3 linked regions of the Saccharomyces cerevisiae S288C genome follow. The protein of the gene in region 3 purifies or fractionates together with the protein of the main gene of each other region. This does not show direct contact. Each region holds a gene or a part of one and is shown on either strand. Other genes may lie near its edges.

Region 1 (10,934 bases), on a different chromosome or scaffold from region 3:
CTACTTCTATTTTCTTAACGTAAAGAGGAGTGTATGACGACTAAGAATTGTTTACCCGGCGAGAGTCGATTCTTCGTTACCCGAATTGAAAATTTTTTATTTGCTTTTTCTTTTTTTTTTTTTTTTTTTTTTCAATATTAGCTTTAGCGATGAGATGAGATTTTATAGTGTATACACGGTACTTGAGTACATAGCTATTGGATAACTGTATACTATAATAATTAGATAAGCTGAGCAATATTAACAGGAGAAGTATGGCTACCCCGTCAAATAAACGTTCTAGAGATTCTGAATCTACAGAAGAACCTGTAGTAGATGAAAAGAGCACTTCAAAACAAAACAATGCCGCACCTGAGGGAGAACAAACTACTTGTGTGGAAAAGTTCGAAGAACTAAAGTTATCACAGCCAACTTTAAAGGCCATTGAAAAGATGGGATTTACCACTATGACTTCTGTTCAGGCAAGGACTATCCCACCTCTTTTGGCCGGTAGGGATGTTCTTGGTGCTGCCAAGACAGGTTCTGGTAAAACTCTAGCGTTTCTCATCCCTGCTATTGAACTATTGCATTCTTTGAAATTCAAACCAAGAAATGGTACCGGTATAATTGTCATTACGCCTACAAGAGAGTTGGCTTTACAGATTTTTGGAGTGGCAAGAGAGTTAATGGAATTCCATTCACAGACATTTGGTATTGTCATTGGTGGTGCAAATAGAAGACAGGAAGCCGAAAAATTGATGAAAGGTGTTAACATGTTGATTGCTACCCCTGGAAGATTATTGGATCACTTACAAAATACAAAAGGATTTGTATTCAAGAACTTGAAGGCTTTGATTATCGATGAAGCGGACAGAATCTTAGAAATTGGGTTTGAAGATGAAATGAGGCAGATAATTAAGATCTTGCCAAACGAAGATAGGCAATCCATGTTATTTTCAGCTACACAAACGACCAAAGTTGAGGATTTGGCTAGAATCTCGCTGAGACCGGGCCCTCTTTTCATTAATGTCGTTCCTGAAACCGACAACTCCACCGCAGATGGATTAGAACAAGGCTATGTGGTATGTGACAGTGATAAGAGATTTTTGTTGTTATTTTCTTTCTTGAAAAGAAATCAAAAAAAGAAAATTATTGTATTTTTATCATCTTGTAACTCTGTGAAATATTACGCTGAATTATTGAACTATATTGATTTGCCAGTCCTCGAATTACACGGTAAGCAAAAACAACAAAAGAGAACAAATACATTTTTCGAATTCTGTAATGCGGAAAGAGGTATCTTGATTTGTACAGATGTCGCAGCTAGAGGGCTAGATATCCCTGCTGTGGACTGGATCATTCAATTCGACCCTCCTGATGATCCAAGAGATTATATTCATAGAGTCGGAAGAACCGCAAGAGGCACTAAAGGTAAGGGTAAATCTTTAATGTTTTTAACACCTAATGAATTAGGGTTTTTAAGATATCTAAAGGCTTCCAAGGTCCCATTAAATGAGTACGAATTCCCGGAAAACAAAATTGCAAACGTTCAATCACAATTAGAAAAATTAATTAAATCCAACTATTATCTACATCAAACAGCCAAGGATGGTTATAGATCTTATTTACAAGCGTACGCTTCCCACTCTTTGAAAACTGTCTATCAAATCGATAAGCTGGATTTAGCCAAAGTAGCAAAGTCTTACGGTTTTCCAGTCCCTCCAAAGGTTAACATTACAATTGGTGCCAGTGGAAAAACGCCAAATACCAAAAGACGTAAAACTCATAAGTAATTTCAGAGGATCAATTTTTAATGCTATTAATGTGTACGTGGAACCAACACAACCGAAGTATTCATCTTCTGTTCTCATCGCACTCCTTTTCCTTTCTCTGCTTCTCCACTGTATGTCATTTAAATAAATGTATAAACCGCTGTTTTCTGTTTGTTGTCTTCTACGTACGTTGTCTGTATCAACCTGCACATATTTGAGTATGTAAAATCATGATTTGTAAACTATTGTAAAAAAACTTCATTGATATGAAAATCTGTCGTCTGCTCAATATTTTGTCTTCACTGTTCCCTTTATGCATCCCATGACGCCATTGAAAAGCAAAACTTCGTTGCCAACGGTAAGGCTTCCTATATCTATATCTCCCTCTTCAATAAGGCCGAGCCGCAATAAATAATGACGCATTGTTCCGCACAAACATCCAGTTGCTAATCTTGGTGTCACATACTTTTTAGAACCGTTAGGATCTTTTTGAATTACAGCCACGTTTGTTATTGAACCTTCCATCAGCAGGCCAGATTTGTTGGAAAATAAAATTTCGCATTGCGAGACAGAAGAAGTAGGTTCTGAACCTCTTAAGTTATTTATAGCAGTTTGCATGCGAACTCTCGCCCTAGCGTAATGATCTCTTGAAGTGGTTTTAAAACTGGTGAAAGCTGATGCGTTCAATGGTTCAGATGAAACAACAACATCCCAATTTATTGTGCTATCAATTAAAAATCCATTGAGCATCGTTTTGATGAAGTATGTGGAAACACTGTCATAATCGGTTGTTAATTTTAGGATAGGCTCCATAGGCATTGGAATTGCCTCAATTCGTATATCTCCTGTCTTAGAGACAAGTACCCGCATTTTATAGCATTGCCTTTCGTTGATCATTTTTTGAATTTTTTCGTGATACTCTGAATTTCCTTCTTTACAATTAATCAAGTTTTCAACCAATAACTTCAATAAATCATTCAGAGACGTGCTGAAGTCAATTTTAAAGTATGATAATGCTATTCTTATTCTTTGGTATTGTTCATCTAATAAAAAAAATCGTTCATAAATGACTTGTAGCATATCTTCTACACGCTGGCACACAATGGTCTTGCAATCATGCTTCCAAGCATCAGGATGCTGAATATTTTCGAGAAGGTCACCGCCGGAATTAACCTCCCTTACTCGTAAATAACTTGAGTAATCCTCATTAATTATCTGCTGCCTAATATCTTCGTCTCTCAAACCTAATCGAGGGTCTGGAGTTTCAAAGATCTCTTTCTTTGACGCTGACTGGCGTGCAAAACCAGGGTCGTACCTGAAAGTGGCCAGAACCTCGAAGTTCGGATTAGCAACTAGGCCTCCTTCATCGTAACTTTCCATATCAGTCTTCCAATTGTCCATTAGTGACATCTATTTCTTATTATCCATGTCTCGCTCTTCATCTTTCTTTTACTCACTTTCACAAAATTTTTTCCTGCCCTTTTTTTTCCAATAGCAGGTTCTGTTTATATTTCATCATAATCTATGAAGGCATCGTGACGTGATGATATAGGTGTGTCAAGTAAAATATTCTTACAAGTTGTGGTTATTTATATGCTCTATATATATTCACAGAACTAAATCCAGTTCTTCTATATATTCTTCATTGTTGTCTGGTGTAACGGGGTAAAAAGGTACCATGGCGTCCTGGTACATTACGTACATGTTATTATACACCCTCCAAAATGCTTTCCTTACATTCTTCGCTGGATGGAACAATCCTGCCCATATGTAGTTCATGAATAGTCCAGGGCCAAGAGCTTGACTCAGTGCCTCCAAACCTTCTAAAATACGCATAATAGCATGTGGTGAAGTTTCAAAAATATTGGGTATTAGAAGATTCATTAAATGAATGAAGGCATCTTCGTGACCTGTACCTGAACAGTTTAAAGCTAAGTGGGTTATTACGTTCGACGCTGTCTGACGATGAACTAAATCCCTATCGGTGAGTGCATCTTCTAATAATGGTGTTATGAAGTATATGTAATCCTTAGACATGTTACCAATGTACTCAAACATGAATGACATGGCCTTGAGAACACCGTTTTGAACATTAGTCTCTGGTGTTGTGTATTCATTCATGATTACTGGCAGCACGTTGTAAGGACCACACACTTTAGCAACGATACCGATAGCAACAGCCGTGCATACACGTAACTGACGTTCTTGAACCTTTAAATTGTTCAATAACGCAACAAGAACATCGTGAGGTCCAATTGCTTCAGCAATGAATCCAAACGTGGCATTTGCTGATCTTCTTATTTCTTTATTTGTACTTTTCAAAAGTTCTAATAGTTCAAAACATATTCTCATCCATTCTTTAGGAGGTGCATAGGTAGGTGCTAATTTACCAATAAGTCCAACAAATTTGATAGTGTTTACTTCGACTTTTCTATGCTTGTTTCTTAAAATTGGAGTTAAGGTTGGTAAAATTTGATTAATAGGAGGTTGTAGTTTATCCAAATCCATTACGCTAGTAATACAGTACATAGCGTTGATTATAGAACCTAATACCTCTGGATATACTTCGCCTAAGGATTCATACAATATAATGTTCAATTTATTCAACATTTCGAATTCGTGACAGTTCTTGATGACTGGTATTAGTATGGCACATAGATCTGCTGCATGTTGACGAACCAAGGGAGTTTTATGCTTTAAATGATTTAAAATCGTACTCACAATGGGTGCTAAAAACGGTTTCATACGGATGTCAAGTGACACCGTCACTGCCCCAAACCCTTTAAAGATTATAGAATCACTATTTGTTTGTTCTTGAAATGCTATCAAGAGCGCATCAATAAGCCTCGTTTCTAATCTCTCATCTAAATCTGCTGTCCCTAATAAGTTTACTGTTCTAGTAACAGCATGGACAGCCATTGTTCTGAACGGCTCAGCTTCATCTCTCAATGGTGTTAATAATTTATCAATGGTATAAGAACAACCTAATTTCTTTGCTAATGTAACAGTAGTATATGTAACAACTTTGTTTAATGGTCTATCCAATGCCACTCGTCTGACCCAAAATTTTTGAAAGAATTCTGGCGCGATTTCTTCTCTCAGAAATTTTGGCGTTATGGATTCTACAGCGCTACATTTTTGTAATACTAAAAGAATGGTCTTTTTCATTTCATCATCGGGAGAGTCGAATTCACGTCTAATTATTCTCATTGCTTCTGTGGTATAATAACCGGCATACTCTGGGTCCATCAATGGGATCATAGATCCAACAGCTTTTAAAAAAGAAGATAGCACTTTACCACGATGACTTCTTATACCCTTCCATAATGGCTCCAGTACAACGTTGAAAACTTCGATACCATATGGATAAGAATTTTCTGCTAGTGTTGATAAAGTATGTGCTGTAACAATTCGCACCGGAACGTGATCATCCATTAGGCAGTCTTTGATACAACTCATCAGCCCAGTAAGATGATTCAAGACACCTATTCCCAAAAGTATACCTATTTGCTGCACAATTTTTATGCCAGTATGCCTTGCTTTCCAAGACTTCCGTGAGTGGCATGCTGCATTGATGAAAGGAAGCAATTGATTAACACCAAGGGCTTTTGCCACCACAGCCGCCGCTCTTGAAGTTACATTTCTAACATACTCATCCTCATTCTCAATATCAGGTCTCATTACTGTTAGAATGGTTTTTAGGCCAGCGACTGTAGACAGATTGGTGATTATCTCCTGGCCTGTTGAACGAACCATTGGATCTTCATCTATTAGCAATGGGGCAGCTACTACAAGTATTTTGTGAACGTAAGGTTTTGTTAAATCTCCTAGCTGGTAAAGGACGCGATCTATGGTCTTGATCATTAGATGTCTTTCCTGGTCTTCCAAACTTCTGTCTAGTAATATGGGCAATAAGCGGTTAAATATCATTTCTGGACCAAATGTAACAGCTTTATCGGTTAAAATCCGCATAGAAGTCCTCCTACTCGCTGTATTGCCATTTTTTATTTTCAGAAGTAACATCGACAGGGTTCTTTCTTTCTTTTCATCCTTATTTAACTCATCTATGGGTTTTTTGGATATAACGTCGGCGAAATATTTATGGTCAGAAGGTTTAAAAAACATCAAATCATGGATTCCTTCTACATTAACCAAAGCACTATCAGAGTTTTCTTTGACCGCTGTTGAAGATTCATCAGGTGGCTCGTACCCTTTTACATCCCAACGAGATTTTCTTTTCCTTGGCACGACAGCGTCTTGGGTATTTTCTGAAGACGTAACAGTTTGTGTATCGGAATCCGGCTCAAACTTCATATCAAACCTTCTTTTGTGGTATGAATCCTCTCGATTTTGCACTGTCCTAGTTTCCATTTTTTCCTGTAGCACATCTTTTTCGTTCTCACCAATACGTGCAGCTTCTTTCTGCAGGTTTTCCCTCAAATCCTGAGGAATAGAATATTGACCGCCTAATTGGTGGCTCTTATCGCTATTATTAGCGTTTACAAATTGAATCGGATGACTCATGATGACAGGTCCTGGCTTTCTATGTTTATTATGTATAAGTAATTGAAGAGATGTTTCAGTTCTAACTCATCGAGAAGGAGATTTCTGCTCGGGCAAATATCAATGCAAACCCGAATAAGCTTAAATACTAACAACGTGCCAAATAACAGCAATCACGTCTAAAAAGCTTTCAAGAGACGATAATTGGTTGTGCATATCTGTCAGCGGAATAAATAAAGACAGGTGATGGTAGTTAGGCGGAAAGTACATGTTCTTCTAATTGCAAGGAGCTTTCATTCCTACACACCTTGCTTCAGAGTAACTACCAGAGGCAAACGACAGCGAAGTAAGAGTAAGCAGCAAGCAAAAGTAGAACTAGATCACACACGAGAGCTAGATAATGATCAAGCTACAGAGACAGTTGTAGACCGTTCGGTTGGACCGGAGAAAGATATAGAATCAATAAACAAAGACTTTCTGCAACGAACAAAAGGATTAGAGCCTGATATTGAATTAAAACAACTGCCTCAAATTAAACAGGAATTTAACCAACGTTATAAAGATAGGTATGTTAAACCTTCCGAAGATTGGTACGTAAACTCCTGGAGGTCTTTAACAAAACCAAAAATTCCGCTTTACAAGTTAATAAATTCAGATTTTCAATTAATAACAAAACTGAAAGCTCCAAACCCAATGGAATTTCAACCTGTTCAGCTAATGGAAAGTCCCTTAAATGTTGGTGACTTTGTTCTTTTAAAAATGAGACCCAATGAATTGGCGATGTGTGTAAGTCTTCCAAGTAGCACTATGGATCCTCGATACACTTTTGTTACTATTGATGGAACTATGTGCTTTGCGACCAAAAACCGGGTGTTATTGAGGATTCCTCACAAATTACCTGCTGGAATCCATTCACTTATACAGCCTGAGAGCCATCACAAACATTTGCCAATTGGAACCGTTAAGAACTTTTCTAACCAAACGAATATTTTGCCTATTGTAGCAAGGCAGCTAATAACAAGTAGGTATCCAGCCCAAATTTCAAAGTTGGCCTGGAAAGATTTGCCCATTACTACCAAAAAATTACAGTTACTCCACAGATCATTACAAAATTATATGGGTCCATGGCAGATTCCTTTTTTTACCCTAGTCGGATTAGTTCAGAAATTGGATTTAAATAAAGCCTTGGACGATAAAAATGGAATAAATTACTTAACTAGTTTAGTTAATAACTATCACACTGTAAACGATATACCAATAAATTCACCTACCTTTGTTTCCACGTACTGGGCGATTATGCAACAACAGGAATCGAACCTTTGGGGGGAAATCCATCTGAATACAGCGTTGCTGTCGCCTATATCAGTAACGATTATTCCCTTAAAATCACAACATTTATATTATGCGCAGGTGATAGAGAAGCTAGAAGCCAACAGTTATAGAGAGGTCAATAAGTTTGTAAAATTGGTGAATGAAAGGAAATATCGCGATATATCAGCTTTATATCCTTCTGTGATCCAATTATTGAAAGATTTTGCTGCTGGGAATTTTCACAATAACGGAATTATAGTAGCTTTGATCTCAAAAATATTCAGAAAGATAGAACGCTATAAGGATTGTGACATCACAAGAGATATATGTCAAGATTTAATCAATGAGATAACACCCAACTCAATACCCAATCCATTGTTACTTAACATGGATTTAGCATTACCTGCTTCCTCGAAGTTAGTGAAATGGCAACAAAAACTCTACGACTTAACTAATATAGAAGAATTGCAATGGAAAAAATCCGGCACTGATGACGATAGGTACGATTTTGGCGATCTTAGGGTTTTTTGTATAGACTCTGAAACTGCGCATGAGATTGATGACGGCGTGTCGGTGAAAAACTATGGTAGAGATGGACTGTACACTTTATATATTCATATTGCGGATCCAACTTCTATGTTTCCGGAAAGCACTAATGTTGATATTGAGGGTATAAGTACAGATATCCTAAATGTTGCCTTGAAAAGATCATTTACCACATATTTACCAGATACGGTTGTTCCTATGTTACCTCAATCTATTTGTCACTTATCAGATTTGGGGAAACAAGGACAAAGGACGAAAACTATATCCTTCTCTGTTGATGTTAAAATCACTTCTAAATGCAGTGGAAAATCAATTGAAATTATGTATGACAGTTTTAAAATCCGGAAAGGCATTGTGTCCAACTTCCCAAAGGCCACTTATGAAGATGTTGACAGGATACTCGGTACACCCAATAGCGAAGCATCACCTGTCAAAAAGGATTTGGAAAGTTTGTCCATGATTTCCAAATTATTGAGAGAACAACGTATAAAAAACAGTAATGCTGTTATTTTCGGGGAGGGCTTTAATAAGGGCCTAGTGATGCTAAACGCCGATTCAGAAGGAGAACTGACTGAGGTAACATTTTCGGATCAAGAGGAGACGCTGTCTACCATTTTGGTTTCAGAAATGATGATCTTGGCGAATACTTTAACGGGTAGATATTTTGCGGAGAACAAAATCGGTGGTGTGTTCAGATGTTATAAACAGTTACCACTGGGCGAAGTAGCACAACAACAGTATGATTCTATGATAACAAGTACAAAAAAAGGAATTTTTCCCAAGCTAAAAGATATCGTTAAGCTTTCTTCATTGTTGAACTCGAGTTTTTATACAGGTCGACCTTTTAGACATGAAATGATTGGAGCTAAACAATATTTGACAGTAACATCCCCTCTTCGTCGTTTTCCAGACTTGATAAATCATCTACAAATTCACCGTCATTTGCAGAAAAAGCCTCTATGTTTTAATCAAACACAAATCGACAGTTTGATCTGGCCAATTCAATCTCGAGCGGATATTTTAAAAAGGGCTAGCCGTAATTCGTCGACGTACTGGACACTGAATTATTTAAAAAAGCTAACCAAACTAGAGCCAGAAAGGACTTTCGATGTAATGGTAACATCAGTACCGCAGAACGGATTTACTGGATGTGTTTTTCCAGACTTATCGTTCGCTAGAGGAACATTAAAATTGCATCCAAGTTCTATGCATTATCCGATGATTGGAGATATCGTGAAGAATTGTAAAATTTCAAAAATTGACTGTTTAGAAGGAATGTTAGAGTTGGAAAAGCTATAAAAAGGGACTCTTTTTCCAAATATAAAATTCAATAGACCATGCATAATTTTCTTCTTGTAAATATATACATACATAAAATATGAAATCGAGATAGTGTATTGATTTCTTTGTATCAAAAATTGCATAAATTACTATTAACATATGTGCCTATGCAGGAAAAAATAATACTATATACATATATAAGTCAGGAATATCAAGAAGAAAGGAAATCCAGTTGCCTTATTTTCGCTGTTTCAGTCGATGGTTCTCTTCTCCACTATAAACCCAGGGTTTGACTTTCTCAACTCTCGTTGCTGCGATGGTGTTAATTCATGTTCTGTTACTTCTACTTTGACTAACTCTTTTACTTTAGCTAGGGAGCCAGCTATGGCCGGGTTTACTTTTTTGTAGACTATGGACCCTCTTTTACCTAAACCCAAACTTTTGACAATGCTCTTCGTTGTGTGTGGCACACCGATAAGCGACCTACTCAACGTGACTTTGTAAAACACCATTCCTGATATCTGCTTTCAACGTGTTTTAGCTGGTCCATCAATATTGATTCCATCACCTAACTTTTGGGATGATATACTTTATCCTTAATATCTAGAAAAGCTCTTCGAGAGATATTTCGTGCAGAAAGACCATTCATTTTTCAAAAAATGGTTGCACTAAAGCAAGAGGAAAGGAAAAGTAGTGTTGCAAGAAGATGAGATTGTAGTCTCCTTATAGCTTCTTAATTGTAGTTAAGAGTATTAAGTAAATATGACACAAGACAAAGAAGTCAAAGTGGTTGCCCCAGATGTTGCGCCCGACCAAGAAGTAGAAATTAATAAATCTGTAAAAGATGCAAAACATCAAACCAATGATGATTCGTTACTTCAACATAAAAAGAAGGGCAAGAAAGGTAAAAAATCGAAGCCCATAGTGACCCCAGAACATATCGCTAAGGTTCGTGCCGAAAGGGAAGTTATGAGAAAGGCTAAAAGAGATGCAATGTTGGCTCAAGGTGTTGATCCGGACTGCCCGCCAGAGCTGCATTTTATCAGAAGACCTTTCCTATCTCTACATGAGGCAGAGCCAGTAACTGGATTTAGATTCAAGCTAATGACTTATAATTGCTTGGCGCAAGCTCTAATCCGCAGAAAGCTGTTCCCGGATAGTGGTGACGCTTTAAAATGGTACAGGCGTTCTAAAGTTCTCTTAAACGAGTTTAAATATTATAATTCCGATGTCATTTGTTTGCAAGAGATTGATCATATTCAGTTTCAAAGCTTTTGGAAAGATGAATTCAGTAAATTGGGATACGATGGACAATATTATAGAAATGCTACAAAAAACCATGGTGTCGCGATAATGTGGAGGAGAGAATTATTTCACCAGGTTGACAAAATGCTAATCGACTATGATAAAGAAAGTTCAGAAAGCATTTCCACTAGAACAACGACAAACAACGTGGGATTAGTCTTAGCCTTGAAGTTTTCTGAGAAAGTACTGTCGAATTTGGGTAAAAAATCGTCTAAAAAATGCGGTATCTTGATCGGC
Region 2 (10,934 bases), on a different chromosome or scaffold from region 3:
AAAACCATTGCTAAAATCTTGACTGTCTTCCTTATCGCCATTTTCATCGCCCTCACCGTCATCGCCATTTTCATCGCCCTCACCGTCATCGCCATTTTCATCGCCCTCACCGTCATCGTCATCGTCATCGTCCTCACTATCATCGTCATCACCACCATCATCATCATCATCCTCAGAGTCCTCATCAGTATCATCATCTTCATTGTCCTCACTATTTCCCACCTCTTCACTTTGTTGATCTGTCTCCGCATCAGGTTTATAATGTAAACCCAAGCCCATCATAGCTTTCTGTATCGCGTTCGATGTTTTACTTCTGTTTTTGAGATCTTCTGTGGATTCAGTAACATCTTCATTAGCAGTATTCTTTGGTTTATTGAAATATTCCTTCCATGAATTCCATAAGTTGGCTGCTGGCTTGTCTGTATTCTTTCCAGGATTTACAGAAATTTGGGAAACAGACTTTTTTGACTCGATGCTTTCCTGGTCTTTGATATCCTCCTCGCTTTGATGACCATTTTTATTGCTTGAAGAGTTGCTAGAGCTTCTTTTTAAATTATGAAATGTGGCCAAAAATCGTTGCTGTAATAGAGACAGAGTGTCGGCACCGTTATATATATGCTTCGGAGGAAACAAGTCGAACAATCTATCATCTGTTCTTGAGTTGAATATCAGAAAATTTTGAGTCTCTTTCCAACTCTGAACCCAATTCAAATTGAATAAATGAACGGGATTGGAATTTAGCATATCCTCAGGTATAGTCTTCAAAGCTTGATCATTCTCTTTATGCAGGTCCAAATAATCACTTAATTTAACACTGGAAAGTAACCCCGTTAAATAGTCCTCGAATTGCCACCTAATGAAATCCTCACTGCCTTCAAATTGAGAGTTTTTTGGAGTTTCATCATCATTTTCGTTCCATGTGTCTGATACAATTCCAGATATAGATTCAATCCATTTTTTATCATGACTTGACAATTGGAGGACGGGGTTCAAAGTCTTGTCCAGAATATCTACAGTGGAATTGTCTGTATTGACAAATATGTGGCACAGTTCCTCCTTTTGTTCAGCAAGCAATGTGTTGGAACTTCCAATCATAAAAAACAAAGTACGTTCTGACCGTATGTCATTCATTTGCTGCAGTGGAGTATAGGGTGAAAATAGTCCACCTTTTTCGAAAATCGGTAATGGAAAACCTAAGAATCTCAACACTGATTCTCGATTGCTTGATTTAAACGAGTCCACAACATTTAATTTCGAAATATCCTGAAACAACTGAGGACTGCCAGAATCCTGCAAATTTGACATCAAGTCCGGAATTAAGCTGATCAGACCGAACTGTAAATTACACAAAGCTTCCACGTCGTTGCCGTAAACTATAATTTTTTTTTCAAGCATAATTGCTTTCAATAAGACTAAAGCGTTTCTCTTAAAATCATGTAGTATCTTTCTCAGACATAACCCAATATAAAGACGATTTTCGGCATTTCTGACCAATGATGCAGGCGTGTAAATCGACTTCAGGTTTTCGTATAAAGACTGGATTATCTTCCTGTCCCCAAAATCATGCTGCAAGAAAAAAGCATTAGTCACAATACTAAGTTTGTCCTTGATTTGACCGAAGATTGGTTGCCTTGAGATGACTACAATTGCCTTCTGTACAGTAGATCGTGTTACATCCTTATCTTTAGTGACCAATTCATCACTCTTTATCTGTCTCGAGCAAGATATGGCAAACAAAGTCGTGTTGTCATTGATGCTATCATCACTCAGATCAGTTGCCCCGTTGGGAGGGCTCCTTTGTCTTCTTTCATCATATAGTAATGTGAAATAAGTAAATGTTTCTTCAAACGAGTGAGAACCATCAGGAAGGGCCTGGAAGGGTAAATTTGGCCATAGTTCTGCACTTTGGGTGCCCTCAGGTAAGCCATACCAGTATTCTATTTCAGGGCCTCTTTTGTGATGAAAGTCCACAAGGCAGATACCGAAGATGACTGCTTCCTCGTGTTCATCCATTATTTTGACAACAAGGTTGCAGCGAGGCAGAATGTATATGTTAGTTTGATATGGTCTTCCTGCTTGGATTCCTTTAAGGCTTCAAAATTTTCTTGAAAAGGAAACTTCGTGAATGAGCTGTAAGGATGCTTGATCGGGCCGTACATTCTTATGCAAGATCCATTATTGACTGCTCTCTGTTGGGTTAGCTTCCATATCTTCCGTTACCCGTTCGTATAATCATTACCCGACGGACAAGCATCATTTCAGCGGCTATTTTTGCTAGGCAAACCTCCTAAGCAATGATACTTCTCAAACGTTCAATGGAAGTAATAGAAGTTCAACTTACCCCATTAATAATCCACACATTAGAAGGTTGGGACAATAAAAATAAAAAGCATTAATTAGTGTAAACTTTGCTCCCAAATGCAAGTCTAAGGTAAGTTCTTTGGTTCATGGAGTTTTTGCAGTGTAATCTCACGTGCACTAGACTGAGTAAAGCGAACCTGAGTTCAAGAAATAATGATTCACCTATGACATATAGTCCAACTATACAAGCAATGAACCCTTACGGATTGAAGTCATTCAATGTTCAATGTTTGTTGTAATAAGAAATATTACTAGAAAAAGATTTTTTCTTTCGGCGGCGTTTTCCCGCTTTTCTTAAACAATCTGCAGTTTTAACATCGAATTCACGAATATTTGTTCGCTAAAGAAATAACACAGAAGATGAAATGAAGAACATACATTGAGGGCGACGAATATATATGACTTATAAATACAATTGCTGTGATGATGGATCAGGAACCACCGTTGGTTCAGTGGTACGATTTGATAACGTCACCTTGTTAATCGATCCCGGTTGGAATCCATCTAAAGTATCGTATGAGCAATGCATCAAGTACTGGGAAAAAGTGATACCGGAAATTGATGTAATAATACTATCACAACCAACAATTGAATGTTTAGGTGCTCATTCCCTTCTGTACTATAATTTTACCTCGCATTTCATATCCAGAATTCAAGTTTACGCAACTCTTCCTGTTATCAACTTAGGGAGAGTTTCCACCATAGATTCATATGCATCTGCAGGTGTTATAGGTCCATATGACACAAATAAACTCGATCTTGAAGATATTGAGATATCTTTTGATCATATTGTACCTTTGAAGTACTCGCAATTGGTAGATCTACGATCAAGATACGATGGATTGACTTTACTGGCGTACAATGCTGGTGTGTGTCCAGGTGGTTCTATTTGGTGCATTAGCACATACTCAGAGAAATTGGTTTATGCAAAGCGATGGAACCACACTAGAGATAACATACTAAATGCTGCTTCTATATTGGACGCCACTGGTAAGCCCTTATCAACTTTGATGAGGCCCTCTGCAATAATTACTACTTTGGACAGGTTTGGCTCCTCTCAACCGTTTAAAAAACGTTCAAAAATCTTTAAAGATACATTAAAGAAAGGTTTGAGTTCGGATGGGTCCGTTATAATACCGGTAGATATGAGTGGCAAATTTCTGGACCTGTTCACACAAGTTCATGAGTTATTATTTGAAAGCACAAAGATCAATGCGCACACACAAGTACCTGTACTTATTCTGTCTTACGCGAGAGGAAGAACTCTAACATATGCCAAATCAATGCTCGAGTGGCTGTCCCCTTCACTACTTAAGACATGGGAAAACAGAAATAATACTTCTCCATTTGAAATTGGATCACGGATCAAAATCATCGCACCAAACGAATTGAGTAAATATCCTGGTTCAAAGATTTGCTTCGTATCTGAGGTAGGAGCTTTGATTAATGAAGTGATAATTAAAGTTGGTAATTCTGAGAAGACAACCTTGATTTTGACCAAGCCGAGCTTTGAATGTGCGTCGTCTTTAGACAAGATACTAGAAATTGTTGAACAAGATGAAAGAAATTGGAAAACATTTCCTGAAGATGGTAAATCATTCCTCTGCGATAATTACATTTCAATAGACACCATAAAAGAAGAACCCTTGAGTAAAGAGGAAACAGAGGCGTTTAAAGTACAGCTTAAAGAAAAGAAAAGGGACAGAAATAAGAAAATTCTACTGGTGAAAAGAGAGTCTAAGAAACTGGCTAACGGCAACGCAATCATAGATGATACCAACGGAGAGAGGGCAATGAGAAATCAAGACATTTTAGTGGAAAACGTCAATGGAGTACCACCGATTGATCATATTATGGGGGGTGACGAAGATGATGATGAAGAGGAAGAAAACGACAATTTGTTGAATTTACTCAAGGATAACTCTGAGAAATCAGCAGCGAAAAAAAATACGGAAGTTCCTGTAGACATTATAATTCAACCAAGTGCCGCTTCAAAACATAAAATGTTCCCATTTAACCCCGCTAAAATCAAGAAAGATGATTATGGTACTGTTGTAGATTTTACGATGTTTTTACCTGATGATTCTGACAATGTTAATCAAAATAGCAGGAAAAGACCTCTCAAAGACGGTGCTAAAACCACGAGCCCTGTAAACGAAGAAGATAACAAAAATGAAGAAGAAGATGGTTATAATATGAGTGATCCAATTAGCAAAAGGAGCAAACACCGTGCTTCTCGTTACTCGGGATTTTCTGGAACCGGAGAAGCAGAAAATTTTGATAACCTTGACTATTTAAAGATAGACAAAACGCTCTCCAAAAGAACAATCTCAACTGTAAATGTCCAATTGAAATGCTCCGTAGTAATCCTAAATTTACAGAGTTTAGTTGATCAAAGGTCTGCATCTATTATATGGCCATCGCTAAAATCTAGAAAAATAGTTCTTTCCGCCCCCAAACAGATTCAAAATGAAGAAATTACGGCAAAACTTATCAAGAAAAATATTGAAGTGGTCAACATGCCATTAAATAAGATAGTGGAATTCAGTACAACAATAAAGACCCTGGATATCTCCATTGACTCCAACCTCGATAACCTTTTGAAATGGCAACGTATCAGTGATAGTTATACAGTTGCCACTGTCGTTGGCAGGCTGGTTAAGGAGAGCCTACCGCAAGTGAACAATCATCAAAAAACAGCGTCAAGGAGTAAACTAGTCTTGAAACCATTACACGGTTCATCTAGGAGCCATAAAACAGGTGCGTTGTCAATCGGTGACGTTAGGTTAGCACAATTAAAGAAACTTCTCACAGAGAAAAACTACATTGCAGAATTTAAAGGGGAAGGTACACTTGTCATAAATGAAAAAGTAGCAGTCCGCAAAATCAATGATGCAGAAACTATTATCGATGGTACGCCTTCCGAACTTTTTGATACTGTCAAAAAATTGGTTACGGATATGTTAGCAAAAATCTAGCCTTCTTGTATACAGCACAAATAAAAGGTTCAATTTACGTTCGTGGACTGCCCACAAAACAGTATGTGACATAAATTGCTGTGTATCTCGCACCGCTATTATCTGTATATAACATTCTAACTCACTTTTAACGATATTAGCATTATTGATTTCTTTCTTTTTCTGCTGAATTTCACCAAGCGGAAATTTTCAAAGCAGAATTTTTTCCCTAATTTGCTACAAGTGCTATTCTATCCCACAATAAAAGGAAATTGTTGATGAGTTTTAGAAGGATTAACTCTAGATACTTTGAAAATAGAAAAGGAAGCAGTATGGAAGAAAAAAAAGCAAAGGTTCCTCCAAACGTCAACCTTTCGTTATGGAGAAAGAACACGGTAGAAAGCGATGTCCATCGATTCAATTCTCTTCCATCAAAAATTAGTGGGGCCCTAACTAGGGAACAAATATACTCCTATCAAGTCATGTTTAGGATTCAAGAAATTACCATCAAACTGCGTACGAACGATTTTGTGCCCCCCTCCAGGAAAAATAGGTCACCTTCTCCGCCACCAGTTTATGATGCCCAAGGTAAAAGAACGAATACCCGTGAGCAGAGGTATAGAAAGAAACTAGAGGATGAACGTATTAAACTTGTTGAGATAGCCCTAAAGACCATCCCTTACTTCGTTCCTCCGGATGATTACAAGAGACCTACCAAATTTCAGGACAAGTATTATATCCCGGTGGATCAGTATCCTGATGTCAATTTTGTTGGTTTATTATTAGGTCCTCGTGGACGTACGTTAAGAAAGCTGCAAGAAGATTCGAATTGTAAGATTGCAATTAGAGGAAGAGGTTCAGTCAAAGAAGGTAAGAATGCAAGTGACTTACCTCCAGGCGCCATGAACTTTGAGGACCCCTTGCACTGTTTAATTATCGCAGACTCGGAAGACAAGATCCAAAAAGGTATAAAAGTTTGTCAAAACATTGTTATCAAAGCGGTGACATCTCCGGAAGGCCAGAATGACTTGAAACGAGGACAACTGAGAGAATTGGCGGAACTTAATGGTACTTTAAGAGAAGATAACAGGCCCTGTCCAATCTGTGGTTTAAAAGATCATAAAAGGTACGATTGTCCAAACAGAAAAATCCCAAATATACAGGGCATTGTTTGCAAAATATGTGGACAAACTGGACATTTCAGTAGAGACTGTAACTCATCGTCTCAAAGAATGAGCCGTTTTGACAGAAACGCCACGGTAAATAATTCTGCGCCAATACAGAGCAATGACGTACACTATAATAGCAATACTCATCCAATTCAAGCACCAAAAAGATCTCGTTATGACAATAACTCGACGGAACCTCCTTTAAAATTTCCGGCTTCTTCACGTTATGCACCATCACCTTCACCTCCTGCGTCACATATTTCGAGGCAAGCTCAAAACGTGACGCCTACACCCCCTCCCGGCCTAACATCAAGTAGCTTTAGTTCCGGAGTTCCAGGAATCGCCCCTCCCCCATTACAAAGCCCTCCAGAGTCGGAACAACCGAAATTTTCGCTACCTCCACCTCCCGGTATGACTACGGTACAATCCTCAATTGCACCTCCTCCTGGCCTAAGCGGTCCTCCAGGGTTTTCTAATAACATGGGCAATGACATTAACAAACCTACACCTCCGGGACTGCAAGGGCCTCCCGGATTATAATACACTCCCATTATACAATATCTGCATTTTTTTTTATTTGTGTTGAAGGTATGTAGTCTCTATTTTGCATAGTTCCTTTTTTTGTTGGTTTTTTGCCTTCCTGGTTATTATTAACTTTTGATATTTAATTTACTTACTAGCTTATTCTACTACTGTTTAGTTTCTACGGCCTGAACTACAATGACAAAAATATTATTTCACGATACCCTTACCTTTATTCAAAGTGCCTGTTCCTGTTTCCATTTTTTGGCTAGTTCCAAGAACTTTGATGGTTTTGGCTTGTCATCATCGATATCATCAGGAAAAATGTAATCCACGAATTCTTCTTCCACACCGTTCTGTAACCTCACTTTTTTGATTACTTTAGGGAATCTTTTCTTGACGGTTTCTTGATCGAGTTCAGTACCGTAAGTTTCTTCATAGTCTTTTAGCGCTTCCAAAATAGACAGTCTCCCTTGTTTATCATCCTTCTCCTTGAAAAAAACTATCGCCTCTTCAAAAACTTTTCTTGCCTCCAATTTATTCTCATCGGTAATTTCAAACTCTATGTCTTCATCCACATTTTCGCTTTGCAGTTTTGCTAAATCTAATAGTTGTTGCTCCGTCGGGGTTGAAGTTTGATACATGGCGAATTCGATCCAGCTTTGGGGGGAATATTGGTTGAGCTCCAAATATCTTCTATAAAGCTTCCTTGCCTTTTCAAATTCTTGTGATTCTGTCTCAAATGTTATGTATTTTTGAAGTAATACAATTTTAGCCTCCTTTGTTAAGAAATCAGAATTTTCATCTAGTGCAATTGTATATATACCTCTTACTCTATCCCAATCTCCTAAATTTTCTTCTAGTTCTCCATATTGTGACCAAATTTGTAGATCAGAGGGCTGAAATTCAATAAATTTCTCATATATTTTTCTCACACGATCAAATTCCTTCAACTTCACTTCCAACTCGATATATCCTTTGAAAGTTTTAGCCTTAGGACATAAACCGATTGCTTTACCCAAAATTTTTCTCGCCTTCGGTACATCATCATGTCGTATCAGAAATTTAGCATACATTAGCCATATTTTGGAAAAAGTGAAATGTTTATGAGGGATGATGTCGTCAATTAACCTCTGAAAAAGTTCTTCTTCTAAAAGCGAATTTTCCAATTCTAACTCAACATAGCATATATATCTCATCCACAGATAAATATACCTTTTCCACTGAACATTTTTTGATAGTTCTTTTGGTCGGCTGTCCACAATAGCTTTCTCGAAAGTTTGCATTATTTGTTTGGGGAAACTTTCTGAAATGAGATCCAAGTACAGCCACCAGGTGTCATAATCATAGGCGTTATTACTCAATATTGTTTCATACTCCATTTTCCTTTTATAGCTAATAGTTTCTTCTATTGAGTTTATGTCACCAAACTGCTTTTCAAAATCCAACAGTCCTGCCTTGAGCAATTGATTGGAGGGCCATTTTTCTATAGCAATTTGATAAAGAGCACTAGATCTTTCGTATTCTTGCTGCGCAGCTTCCCAATGAGCAAATGAATTTACTAATTTTGCAACCTCCATATCAGACCAAATCTGTAAATTTTGGAGGTTAGCTACTGTGTCTATCGCTAAAGAATACACACTTCTCGTAAATTCAGTATTACCATGTCTATTTTCAAACCTCACCCACTTTAGCCATGTCTGCATTTGCGGGTGAGCCATGACGTATTTTGAGTAAATCTCTCTTACACCGTTCCAGTTTTTCTGTCTTATTTCAAAATCCACGAAAGAATTCCATGCATTAACCCCTGGCTCCAAGGAGCACCATTTGGTGTACAGTGATCGTACAATTTCAACGTTGTTTAACGACTCTTCGACAATGAGATACTTGTACCATAACTTGTCTACTCTGGGCAACGTACTAATAGCTCTGTTCATAAGATTCCTAGCATGGTTAATACATTTGACTTTCAGCTCAGCATCAATGTATCGTATCCAAAGGGGGATGAATGAACTATCTACTAATAATGCTCTTTCAAAGATAGATCTGGCGCGCCTCATGTCGTGTTGTTCGATTTCGAATTGCGCATAACGAATCCATTGTCCCATATCCAGTCGGTTTCTCTTCAAATAACCCTCATATTCTGTTCTCTTCCTTCGTTGATACTCTCGAAGTTCCTCCAAGTCTAATATATCAATATTAGTCGATCCTCTTGCTTTTTGCCCCTTCTTGTACACATCCCGCAGAATCTGCTCCGCAGAAACATGCGTATCAACGGCTGTTGGCTCTAAAGTGTCCATGCTGGCAATAGTAGAGTACTTTTAGCTCAAGTTTGTCTATCTATTATGAACTTGCATAATCAATGAGTCTCATCACCCCAACTATTTGGCACCAAGGTTTTTAATTTTCTATCGCGTCTTACGGATGTATATAAATTATTTAACCAAGTATAATAGCGGTTAAATTGAACTCGCAATATTAGGAAAAGAGCTATGATGATAAGCTCTTCTTGATAAATGAAGCCAAGTCTTCTAATTCATCTGGAACTGTAGAATGGGCCATACCTTTGTATACTTTAAATTCATAATTTTGTATCTCACAGCTATCTTGATAGAACTGTTTTGCCTTTATACCTAGTCCAATAGGAACTACTGGATCCATGTCACCATGCCCATGAAAAATTGGTGTCTTTACATTAATGCCATTCTTATGTTGTTTCAGAATTCCTGGGATGGAACAAAATCCCGACAGAGCTACTATACCACCGATTTTCCATGGTAAAGTAACTGATGTTGCGAGAGCTAATGCGGCACCCTGAGAGAAACCTCCGATAATAATCTGCTCCGGTTTAATTCCTTTATCAATTTCTTGCTTAACCGTCTTTTCTATGGAATTCAAAGAATTCATAAAACCGTCACTGTCAACTTTGGAAAAACTAGGATCCCATTCCAAGATGTCAAACCAAGCAGGCATCAATGCACCGCCGTTTGCTGTCACATGAAGCTCTGGAGCATTAGGAAAAACAAAATTAGTATGCTGGAAAGCGGCAGGGTCTCTCTGTTGTAAATACTGAGCTAAAAATCCCCATCCCGAACCTGTATCACCTAATCCATGCAAGAATATGATAGTTTGGCGTGCTGGCTGAATTTTTGCTGCAACTCTAAGTCCATTCATATTCGATAGCGCTCAAATGGGCAAATATAGTGTATGTGTTCTTATTTTCGTTCTCTTTTGCTAACATTTTTATTTCATACAGAAGCCATTTTTCCCTAGAATAGGCGTTCTGAAAAGAAGGAAATATGAAAGTAAAGGCTACAAAACTAAGGATAAAACAACGAAGGAAAAATAAGGGGCTCAATATAAGCAGATTAGATATTATCAGAGCAGAAATGGATGTGGTACCATCTCCGGGTTTACCAGAAAAAGTAAACGAAAAAAGCAAAAATATTCCCTTACCTGAAGGAATTAACCTTTTATCATCAAAGGAGATAATCGATCTAATTCAAACCCACAGACACCAATTAGAGTTATACGTCACAAAATTCAATCCCTTAACGGACTTTGCTGGAAAGATTCATGCATTCAGAGATCAATTTAAACAATTGGAAGAAAATTTTGAAGATTTACATGAGCAAAAAGATAAGGTCCAAGCCTTATTAGAAAACTGTAGGATTTTAGAATCCAAATATGTAGCTAGCTGGCAAGATTACCATTCCGAATTTTCAAAAAAATATGGTGACATAGCATTAAAAAAGAAATTAGAACAAAACACAAAGAAACTTGATGAGGAGAGTTCACAGCTAGAAACTACCACAAGGTCCATTGACTCAGCCGATGACCTGGATCAGTTCATCAAAAATTATCTGGACATACGAACACAATATCACTTGAGGAGAGAGAAACTGGCGACCTGGGATAAACAAGG
Region 3 (10,934 bases):
TATCTATGTATGACATTGGAGTGTGTAAAATTCTTTTCACAGCCCTCAAATTTAACCATTTCGATGCCATAATACCCATTGCGCAAAGTATGGTGAACTGGCCATTCATGAATATGAAAGCAGCAAACACAAAGAAGGAGTAAAGACCCATATAAAAACTGGGTGGTCTGTTTTTGAATTTATTCTCAGTCCAGTAAGATAACCAAACGGAAGAAAAAAGTGAGCAGAATGTGGTTCCAACGACTAAAATTGCATACAACGGTAGTGCGATAAAACCCCACTTACCTACTGCAGCTTTAATGTATTCACGGTATATTTTCAGACTGATACTATTGACTGCTCTTTCTTCTTTACTACTAGTATGACCATCCGCTACAATTTTACCACTATTTGCAGTTTGTGACATTTCTGTAGCCTTTTTCTTCAGTTCAGTCAATTCCTTTACCTCTGATTCATATTTTAGTTGTCCCAATTCACCGGCAACAACCGCTTCCTGTTCTTCATCCTCTTTCTCCGAATTTTGAGAAGAGAATTGTAAAAGATTTATCAAAGTTTGATTACGAGCTTTTAGCTCATCAACAGTACCAATATCGACTTGGCCATCAGTACCTAAAACGATGACTCTAGAAGCTCTCTCAATCAGTGACAATTGATGCGTTGCTAAAATTCTGGTTTTATTAGCAAGCATTCCGGTTAGACATTCATCCATGATGTGTTTACCAACACGAGAATCGACAGCACTTAGGACATCGTCGAATAGATAAATATCCTTCTTCTTATAAACAGACCTGGCTAAATTGATACGTGCCTTTTGACCACCAGATAAAGTAATACCACGTTCCCCAATTTCGGTCATATCGCCTGCCGGTAAAATATCCAGATCAGCTTTCAAAGAGCAAACACGAACTACTTCATCATACTTTTCTTTATTGAATGGTGAACCGAATATGATGTTATCTCTTACAGATGCATTTTGAATCCATGGATAACCACACATTAATAAGTCCCCGTTGACTTCAACCTTACCATCAGTTTTTCTCATTGATCCTGCCATCGCATTCAATAATGAAGATTTACCAGTACCAATAGGTCCCGTAATCATAATAAATTCGCCCTTTTTAATATCGAAGTTCAAGTCCTTGAAACCCCTAAACGAAGTTTTTTCTAAATCTTCCGGGCCGTCTCTGTCTTTCAACATATTGTCCAATCTTTTCGCCTTATTAGTACTTGCAGATGGCTTACCCCATGTATCCTTACGCTTTTTTTTGTTCTTTTTACCTTCATCTTTAGCTTCTCCTTTTGCTTCTTCAATAGCGTCGTTTAATTCATAATCTTCCCACTCAAATGAGCAATGTGTCATTTTTAAAGCCAATTTTGGATCAAAGCCAGGAGAAGGCTTCATTTCAATCATCTGATTTGGATCATCTTCTGGAGCCTCCAATAAGCTTTGCAAACGGCCCAATCCAATGATCATGTCAATTCCAGTACCAATAGCAATAGGTAAGAAAAACATTTGCAAACTCAAGACCTGAAATAAAGATAAAGAGGCAAAAATATTACCAGGTTGCCTGCCTCCTTTATTAACTTTGTACATTGCAAGGAAAGTGACCAATGAAGCAATACTAGGCAAAGACATGGCCATAGCAATCAAGAAATTTCTTGATAGTTGCATTTTTCTAACTTTAGAAATCTCTTTGGTCCTAATATCTTGAATATTTTTTTCATACGCATCCTCCCACGTATAATATTTAATCATTTTTATATTATTCAGCACTTCTCTCATCATGGTAACTCTAGCATCAGTGAAGATGTTCGCAGCAATTCTAAAGCCCAGAATTAACTTAAATGCAAATAAGGATATGAAAAACCCACCGAAAAAAATACCAATCCCAACTAAGGCAATGGGTCCAAGGTTAACGATCAATAAAACAATGCAAATAGCCAAAATTGCAGGGAACCCAGCCAAAAACGGCTGAAAAGATAAGGCAAATTCAATTCTAGCGAGATCTGTTGTTACAAAAGAAGTCACTTTACCGTTAGGAAAACAATGTCTCGCATAATTAGATGCATTAAACATTTTCTTCATGGCAGCTTTAGTAAGAATAGACTTAGCTTGCACACCAGTCAGTTGGGATGTATGAAAGAAATGGTTGAACGTCAACCCGTTAACGAACATCATCAAACATGCACCAATAGCGTAACCAATACCTTTGTTAACATGCATGCTATGAAAAATAGCCTTTTCTTCGACAAACTCAATTAGCCTCTTGGTAATCATGGGGTTAAAACCGGATGTACAATTAGCGAGAATTGCAAACACTATCGACATGAAGTACTGTTTCTTAAAAGTGAATAATAAAGCTCTCAGAACTGTATGTTTAGGTAGTTTGGCATTTTCCATAACCTCTTCTTCTGTCGCTTCTGGATGTCTTTTACGGTATTTTTTCCTCGTCTTCTCAAAATAGTAAATCATGTTTTTTTCAAAGTCGTCATAAAGGGTCTCTATAGACATCCTCGGATCCATTTTGAAGAGATCGTTCGGCTGTATCGTTCTCTTATAACCAACTCGCAGGATGGGTAGAACCCACCAAAAAAACATGTTAGAGATAATATTTGTATGGAACAGAGGATATATCTTCCTCTCGTCATCGGTTTGTGGTACTTCTGGAATTTTCTTAGAGTGCAAGAATGAAAACAGACGTTTCTGAGGGAAAATATCAGATTCTGTCACTTTTTCGATATCATCGCTATTCAAGTAGGTTTGGGGCTTATTTCTGTCCACAATATATTCACCTGTAGGCAGCAAAGATTTGTCATCCCAAGAAGACGATGTGTCCTTATCAACATCTGTGCTTATGTCTGAAGAAGCAGATGCCTTGGGAGATAGTACCACGTTTTGACTTTTGTTTTCCAGCTCCGTCTCCGAAACTGCATCCCCCACGGTAATCGTCATATTCGTATATAGCAACGGCTTTACTCTTTTTGAATATAAAAACAGTAATATTAATCTTTTTCCTCGTTCGTGACACTACTCAGAGGGCACCTGTAAGGAGAAAAAGGTATGGAAATGCGTTCTTCCTGTTCTTGTATAGCGCAAAAAAAGATATACACGCGGAGAGCTGTTCTACCTCCGTATTTATACTAACTGGAACAAAAAATATTTCAGTGACACCTTCGCTAGCTACCTCTGACAGATGTGTAATAAATATATATATGTATGGTAATCATTTAAGGGACAGCAGATCTATTTGTAGGAAAAATATTGCCACTTTCTTACCTTGGCTTTTTTCATTTCCACGGGTGTTAAATCATGTCCGTCATATTCCCGGCAAAATTTCCGGCTATTTCCACGGAACCACGCGTTATCTTCATACAATAGCACATGCCAAAAATTACAACAAAAGCACAGAAGCAAAAGAAAAAAAATGTGCCATTTCCGCCTCGCGGTGGGGAGGAAAATAGAAGCGCTTATCGCAAGCATTTAGTAGAGAACCGTGGATAAAAACGCAGCAACTAAAGAAGGCGACTAATAAAAATTGAGTATGCCTCTCCTTAGCGTAAACAGTAACTGCGTGCTATAAGGTGGCACTAAACTTCCTTCTTCCCCTTTCTATCGGATTTGTGCAGCCAGGAGGGATACCAGTGACGGCTATAGCGGGAGAAAGACGGGCCCTCTCACAACCCTTTGCCCCTTGCGGTTAGTCATATAGATTTTGCTTGTGAAGAGAACTGGTCGGTTCAAAGATGCTTTCTTCAAAGTACTATAGCCTTGCCCACTCTCTTTCTCCCTTCTGATCTCTTGTATGCTGATTTTACTTTAATAAGTGAAGGTGATCAATCAGTCAACTAACAAATTAGCCGCCACTGCAAGGATATTTTCTCTGTCGTTGTTGTTTTCCTACAAATATAAACAACCGGGTAACAGTCAAAGAAAAAAAAAAAAAGAAAAGGAAAAAAAAAAAATATGAAAAATTTTGTTCTGAAAGAAGCGATGAGATGAGTACTCAATAGTAACATATAGGCAGCTTACACCATTAAACAAAGAAGCAGAATGGGTTTGGCAGCTACAAGAACCAAACAGCGGTTTGGTTTAGACCCCAGAAATACGGCATGGAGTAACGACACCTCGAGATTCGGGCACCAATTTCTAGAAAAGTTTGGATGGAAACCCGGTATGGGTCTGGGGTTATCCCCCATGAATTCGAACACTTCGCATATCAAAGTGTCAATTAAGGACGACAACGTTGGGCTCGGTGCTAAATTAAAACGTAAAGACAAAAAAGACGAGTTTGATAATGGTGAATGCGCAGGGTTGGATGTCTTCCAGCGAATTCTTGGTAGGCTGAACGGAAAGGAAAGCAAAATATCAGAGGAATTGGACACGCAGAGAAAGCAGAAGATTATTGACGGAAAATGGGGTATCCATTTTGTGAAGGGTGAAGTTTTAGCAAGCACGTGGGATCCAAAGACTCACAAGTTAAGAAATTACTCCAACGCGAAGAAACGAAAGAGGGAAGGAGACGATAGCGAAGATGAAGATGATGACGACAAAGAGGATAAAGACAGTGATAAAAAGAAGCACAAGAAGCACAAAAAGCATAAGAAAGACAAGAAAAAAGACAAGAAGGACAAAAAGGAGCATAAGAAACATAAAAAGGAAGAGAAGAGATTGAAGAAGGAAAAAAGGGCGGAAAAGACCAAAGAAACGAAAAAGACGTCAAAATTAAAATCTAGTGAATCTGCATCCAATATCCCCGATGCGGTAAACACAAGACTATCGGTGCGCTCCAAATGGATAAAACAAAAGAGGGCCGCGTTGATGGACTCCAAGGCACTGAATGAGATCTTTATGATAACAAACGACTAAACATTCCATTGCGTTTCATTGTGTGAGCAGCTGGCCAGTCTGCACACGCAGCAAGATATATAGAGTGGGGAAAAATTCTTCCCCGGTGCCAAAGAAAAAAGCAAATAAAAATGAAAAAAAAAAATGTGTGCCAGTACGACAGCATACCGCAACGAGTTTTTACATACATGATTAAACTAGTAAGTAATATTATAAGTATTTATTGAACTTATTGCGCCACGACTTCTGCCCCTGCAAAACCTTCAGCTTTATTAGGTGGGTTTGATGGAAGATAGTAGAGCAAGTGGAAAGCATAACATCGCTAACGTCTTCCACACCCTCCATAAAGCCGCTGCATGAATGATAAACGGGCTCAATTCGTATCAGTGTAACCAAATCCATCAATTAACGCCCAATCGAGCTCGTTAACTCCATTTTGGGAAAGAATCAAGATGCCTAGCCCGGCCTAATCGAGATGCATCCACAAACGACCCTGCACGGTCATTTCCCAGAGGGTTTTGTAATTTGTAGGCACCGCTTTTCGCGCGACACCCTGCTGCAATAGGATCTTCTCCCTAGAAACACGCGCAACGCACCTCTTTTCCCTTTTCGTTTAGCCTCTCCAAATGAGGAAAATAGGCACATGATTCCTTTTCACGCGCATTTTTTTCAGAAATTTTCTCTTGTGGTGTTGTTTCAAAAACGGCACCGTTGTTTTTGTTTTTTTTTTTCTGTTTTCTCCCATTCCTCGAGGAGAAGATCTCTGTTTTATAAAACTAATAGATATGTATTCTTTATCTTCTGTCATAATTGTTTTCTGTTTAGTAGTTCTTTTAGCCCTTATTCTATTCTTTTAATAGTGTTTACACAAAGGTCCAGCTAGATATCTAACTAAATCCAACTAAGTCATTCTTTTACATCTACAATCGTTTATATACTAGCAAGCCATACCGAAAAGCAAACTAGAAAAATATGCGTCTCTCTAACCTAATTGCTTCTGCCTCTCTTTTATCTGCTGCTACTCTTGCTGCTCCCGCTAACCACGAACACAAGGACAAGCGTGCTGTGGTCACTACCACTGTTCAAAAACAAACCACTATCATTGTTAATGGTGCCGCTTCAACTCCAGTTGCTGCTTTGGAAGAAAATGCTGTTGTCAACTCCGCTCCAGCTGCCGCTACCAGTACAACATCGTCTGCTGCTTCTGTAGCTACCGCTGCTGCTTCCTCTTCTGAGAACAACTCACAAGTTTCTGCTGCCGCATCTCCAGCCTCCAGCTCTGCTGCTACATCTACTCAATCTTCCTCTTCCTCCCAAGCTTCTTCCTCTAGTTCTTCCGGCGAAGACGTCAGCAGCTTTGCCTCTGGTGTCAGAGGTATCACTTATACCCCATACGAGTCCAGCGGTGCTTGTAAATCCGCTTCGGAAGTTGCTTCCGATTTAGCTCAATTGACTGACTTCCCAGTCATTAGATTGTACGGTACCGACTGTAACCAAGTTGAAAATGTTTTCAAGGCTAAGGCTTCGAACCAAAAAGTCTTTTTAGGTATTTACTACGTTGACCAAATCCAAGACGGTGTCAACACCATCAAGTCTGCTGTTGAATCTTACGGTTCTTGGGACGATGTCACCACTGTTTCCATTGGTAACGAATTGGTTAACGGTAACCAAGCTACCCCATCCCAAGTCGGTCAATACATTGACTCTGGTAGATCTGCCTTGAAGGCTGCCGGTTACACTGGTCCAGTTGTTTCTGTTGATACTTTTATTGCTGTGATCAACAACCCTGAATTGTGTGACTACTCCGACTACATGGCTGTTAATGCCCATGCTTACTTTGACAAGAACACAGTTGCCCAAGACTCCGGTAAATGGTTACTAGAACAAATCCAAAGAGTCTGGACTGCTTGTGATGGTAAGAAGAATGTTGTTATCACTGAGTCTGGTTGGCCATCAAAGGGTGAGACTTACGGTGTTGCTGTTCCATCTAAGGAAAATCAAAAGGACGCTGTTTCCGCCATTACCAGCTCCTGTGGTGCTGATACCTTCTTATTCACTGCCTTCAACGACTACTGGAAGGCCGACGGTGCTTACGGTGTTGAAAAATACTGGGGTATTCTATCCAATGAATAAGTCTACTCAATTGTAAAAAAAAACAAAAAAAATCTTGATTTAAAAAACGATACCCAATATTTTTAACTTTAAATTAAGGCTTTGATAATCTTCTTTTTCTCTGTTATATCAAAGGACTGCTTTCTGGTTTGCCTTCGCTAATCTTTTTTTTTTTTTTTCATTTTCCTATTTTAGTTCGTTTATGATCTCATTTGTATTTCTGTATATTTGTCTTAATACGAAATACGAGTTTTTATTTTATATTCTACCTTTCTTTTTTTTTTGGCTAAAAGCGTGTACGGTTCTATGTAAATATGTACGATTACATGTGTAATGTTTGTTTGGCCGGGCTCTTCATCTATGCCGTTGCCTTCTTGCAGGCGGAGTCCTGGATCTGTTACGATGGTTTCTCGATCCTCTTGGTGGAGTTCTGGATCTAGCACGTTTTCTTGTTTCCACTGTGAATGGCGATCTTGATCTACTATTTTCTCTGGTGTCCTTCTGTAAAAATAACCTGGATTCGTGAATTTTTGGCCCTTGGGTTGGTTGTGACTCTCTGGCCTTCTTCCGTAACTTTTCAAGTTCCTCCTCTTCTCTCAATTTTTTTTCTTCTTCCTCTGCATCCTCAACTTCTTGAATAATTGTCAACCGGCTTCTCATGTCCTCTGTGAGCAGGCCCAATCCTATGGCAGTAAAGAAATTTATGGAGTATCTTATATGTTCGGCGTCTCCTTCCAGCGGAAACATTCCGTCAAGCTTGCTGGAGTTTAGCCTTAATTGCAGCTCATCTAATCCGAGCTCATTTACGAGCTCTTGAAATAAAAATTTGATGAAAATTCTTCCTTGAGGACACGATTCTTCCTCAGTTAACTTAATTATCTTAAGACAGTCCATTGGAAGAAATTCATAAGATATTAAGTGTCCCCAAAACTTACCTAAGATTCGCAGTTGGTCAGTTTCATAATCTTCGATATCTTGTGTATAATTCTGCTCAAAAGTTTCATTGTAAGCTGTCTGCCAACTCCTGTGGAACGTTATCATACGTTCGGACAAAATAGAATAAAATTTAGAGAATGTAGATTCCTGCAAACTAGATTTGATGATTATATCTACCACGCTTTTTTTCAAATTGTTCGCAATCTTTAATTTTAGCAATTTGTGAGCCGCTTCGTCACCTGATAATGAACTTTTCAGAACCAAATAAATCTTCTTTTTAAACTCGACATCATTGGTAGATGTCATGTCATAGATTTGTAATTGACTGTTACTACCTTCATTTGTGTCGGACGTATTATTTATCAGCAGCTTCTGTCGTAGCGTATCAAACGCCATGGTTAGTTCATTGAAATTTTCACACTTTTCAAAATTTCCCAGTTCTTTGTTGGCTTCATCCTCATCACTAACAATATAGGAGTGCGTATGAACTGTGTAACTAGTTGGGTCCAATATAAACAGACCTTGAGACCCAGATTTATAATCTTTTTGCCTTATTTCAAACAGAGTCTCTAACGACTCACGTAGTGTACTAGATAACTCCTGTGTTTGCAAAATATATCTTAACTTCTCCCAAATCATATCATGGGTTTTCTTACTGACAAGTGCAAGTTTCCAGCCACATATTTTCATCACGGCAATGACCAGTCGTAAAGAATTCTTTTCAAGGAGTAGCAATAGAATCTGTAAGATCACGATTTCATGAATTACATCATAAAGAAATAAAATGGACAGACATTGAAGGATATTTCCGCAGGACACGTAATCTTTGCGATTGAATTGCTGCACGAACATTAACATTAGTTCTTTTGCTAAAGTTTCTCCAATATCTGGAATATCAGAATTTAGCAAGGCAATCAAAGCGGATAAAGCAGGGATTAGCCTGCCATTCTGTTTGTTCAGAGTAAAATCCACAACATTTTTACAAATTATGTTGCGGCCAATAAGTATATTGACTTGAAATAAGTCTCTGTGCGATTCCTGTAAGTTGTCCATTGTTAAATTGGATATTATGGGTGAAACGTGTGACCTTATCATTTCCCAGTTTTCTCTCTGAAATTTAATGTCTTCATCCTGTATGGTAGCGGTAGACATGCTGGTTTGTAGCCTTTTTATTCCTTTTTAGGTTTCTTACTCACAATGCCAAAATAAATATCAGTGTAATATAATTTTTCAAGAGTACGTAATGGAAAAAGATAAAAATAAGGACCGTCATAAAAAGAGACGTGATTAAACCTAAAAATCTAAAGTAAAGAAGTGTAAGATGGTTGAGGAAAATTCCAGAGTTTTGATTGTTCTTCCTTATACACCGCCTAGTGCTACTTTGCAGAGGATTATAGGGCAAACTATTCCGTTCTTAAGAGAATGTCAAAGTCAACTAGACATCGTGATTGTACCTGAATTCAAAACCTCATTCCAGTTGGATTCTGCGCTAGGGAAGATGTACAGTATTACCAGGGATGTCCTTTTGGGCTATGGAATGATCAACAGCGGAATCAACATCATATTCAACAATATTCATTTCGTCGAGAGTAATTTGCAATGGAAAGTGGTTTTATTGCCACAGGAATCCACTTTTGAAACTTGGAAGCTAGAGTTGGGACAAGGACAATACCATAGTATAGAACATTATGCATTACACGATAATATAATGGAAGAGATAGAAGGTCCCAAAGATGCTAACAAATTTCATGTCACCGCATTGGGCGGAACGTTCGACCACATTCACGATGGACATAAAATATTGTTGAGCGTCTCTACATTCATCACGTCACAAAGGTTAATTTGTGGAATTACGTGCGATGAGCTCTTGCAAAACAAGAAATACAAAGAGTTGATTGAACCTTATGATACACGATGCAGGCACGTACATCAATTCATCAAGTTGTTAAAACCGGATCTCTCCGTAGAACTAGTTCCCTTAAGGGACGTGTGCGGCCCCACAGGGAAAGTACCCGAGATAGAATGTTTAGTTGTGAGTAGAGAAACCGTCAGTGGGGCAGAGACTGTGAATAAGACTAGGATTGAAAAAGGCATGAGCCCATTGGCAGTACATGTGGTTAATGTACTTGGAGGAAGGGAGGAAGACGGCTGGAGCGAGAAGTTAAGCAGCACGGAAATCAGACGCCTACTTAAGTCCTCTGCTTCGCCAACGTGCACTCCACAAAACCCTTGCGTATAAACATATTTTTGTATATTTTATTGTTGTAGTTCACTATTATTTTATTGTTAGTATTTTATAAGTGGCGCGAGGACACAATAGAAATGGAGGGAAGATTTTTGCTCGATGGCAATACCAAGGATGACTGAGGAAGAAAACAATAATAGACTATACTCAGGCAAACATGCAAGTAGAAGGGCCTGACACTAACTTCGTGAGTGATTTGGCTTTGGGATCAAAGAAAAGAAGGTTATCCAAGACTTCTGTACAAGAGGATGATCATACAAATGTGGTATCGGAAGTGAATAAGAATAAGAAGAAAAAAAAGGCAAAGCCTATGACATGCACATTGCTAAAGTCTGTGGTTGAAAAAGGTATTGGTATAAAGGATGTAAGAGACATGACTCAATACTTGTTGCAGGCTGAAAACAACTCTCCCAAATGGATTGATATTTGTAACAGGTCAAGTTTACAGAAAATGATAGTTCTGTTCATTCCAGGTTTACAACCAGATGATTTTGAGAACGGAAAAAATACCTTTAATGAAATCAGTGATGATAACTTCAAATATATTCCTGGAGAAATTGCCTCCACGTTTCATACATTTCCCGTGATGGCACCTGGTTCCAAGATGACGCTCTTTTCGCCCTACAATTCATTTATTAATGTTGGATTGTCCAAAATGGAGAAAATAAATAAATTGAAAGAGTTACAAAAGAAGAAGAAAATTACTATTAACGATTTGGTTCTATCCGAACAACAGTTAGTGGCAAACGATTACCCACTGGATTCTGGAGACACCAATTTTGATACAGACTGGGT

The links.
Region 1: the proteins of CWC22 (region 3) and HSH155 purify together in Saccharomyces cerevisiae (affinity purification with mass spectrometry, with the first as the bait; 2 studies listed by BioGRID). This does not show direct contact.
Region 2: the proteins of CWC22 (region 3) and CLF1 purify together in Saccharomyces cerevisiae (affinity purification with mass spectrometry, with the first as the bait; 3 studies listed by BioGRID). This does not show direct contact.

What each region holds. Positions count from the first base shown.
Region 1 is NC_001145.3:840,912-851,845, reverse strand, and holds HSH155 (U2 snRNP complex subunit HSH155), read right to left. Parts: upstream 6,276-10,934; coding exon 3,360-6,275; downstream 1-3,359. Other genes in the region: ATP-dependent RNA helicase HAS1, read left to right, coding at 255-1,772; aminodeoxychorismate lyase ABZ2, read right to left, coding at 2,037-3,161; DSS1 (exoribonuclease II), read left to right, coding at 6,501-9,410; mitochondrial 54S ribosomal protein uL30m MRPL33, read right to left, coding at 9,644-9,904; NGL2 (RNA exonuclease), read left to right, coding at 10,155-10,934. UniProt on the Saccharomyces cerevisiae protein: Contacts pre-mRNA on both sides of the branch site early in spliceosome assembly.
Region 2 is NC_001144.5:375,226-386,159, forward strand, and holds CLF1 (Clf1p), read right to left. Parts: upstream 9,310-10,934; coding exon 7,246-9,309; downstream 1-7,245. Other genes in the region: AVL9 (Avl9p), read right to left, coding at 1-2,013; cleavage polyadenylation factor subunit CFT2, read left to right, coding at 2,760-5,339; mRNA splicing protein MSL5, read left to right, coding at 5,597-7,027; TML25 (palmitoyl-(protein) hydrolase), read right to left, coding at 9,500-10,183; ESCRT-I subunit protein SRN2, read left to right, coding at 10,309-10,934. UniProt on the Saccharomyces cerevisiae protein: Involved in pre-mRNA splicing and cell cycle progression. Required for the spliceosome assembly by promoting the functional integration of the U4/U6.U5 tri-snRNP particle into the U1-, U2-dependent pre-spliceosome.
Region 3 is NC_001139.9:1,044,843-1,055,776, reverse strand, and holds CWC22 (U2-type spliceosomal complex subunit CWC22), read right to left. Parts: upstream 9,047-10,934; coding exon 7,313-9,046; downstream 1-7,312. Other genes in the region: ATP-binding cassette transporter YOR1, read right to left, coding at 1-2,953; PXR1 (telomerase inhibitor), read left to right, coding at 4,052-4,867; SCW4 (putative family 17 glucosidase), read left to right, coding at 5,819-6,979; CAB4 (putative pantetheine-phosphate adenylyltransferase), read left to right, coding at 9,216-10,133; RNH70 (Rnh70p), read left to right, coding at 10,297-10,934. UniProt on the Saccharomyces cerevisiae protein: May be involved in pre-mRNA splicing.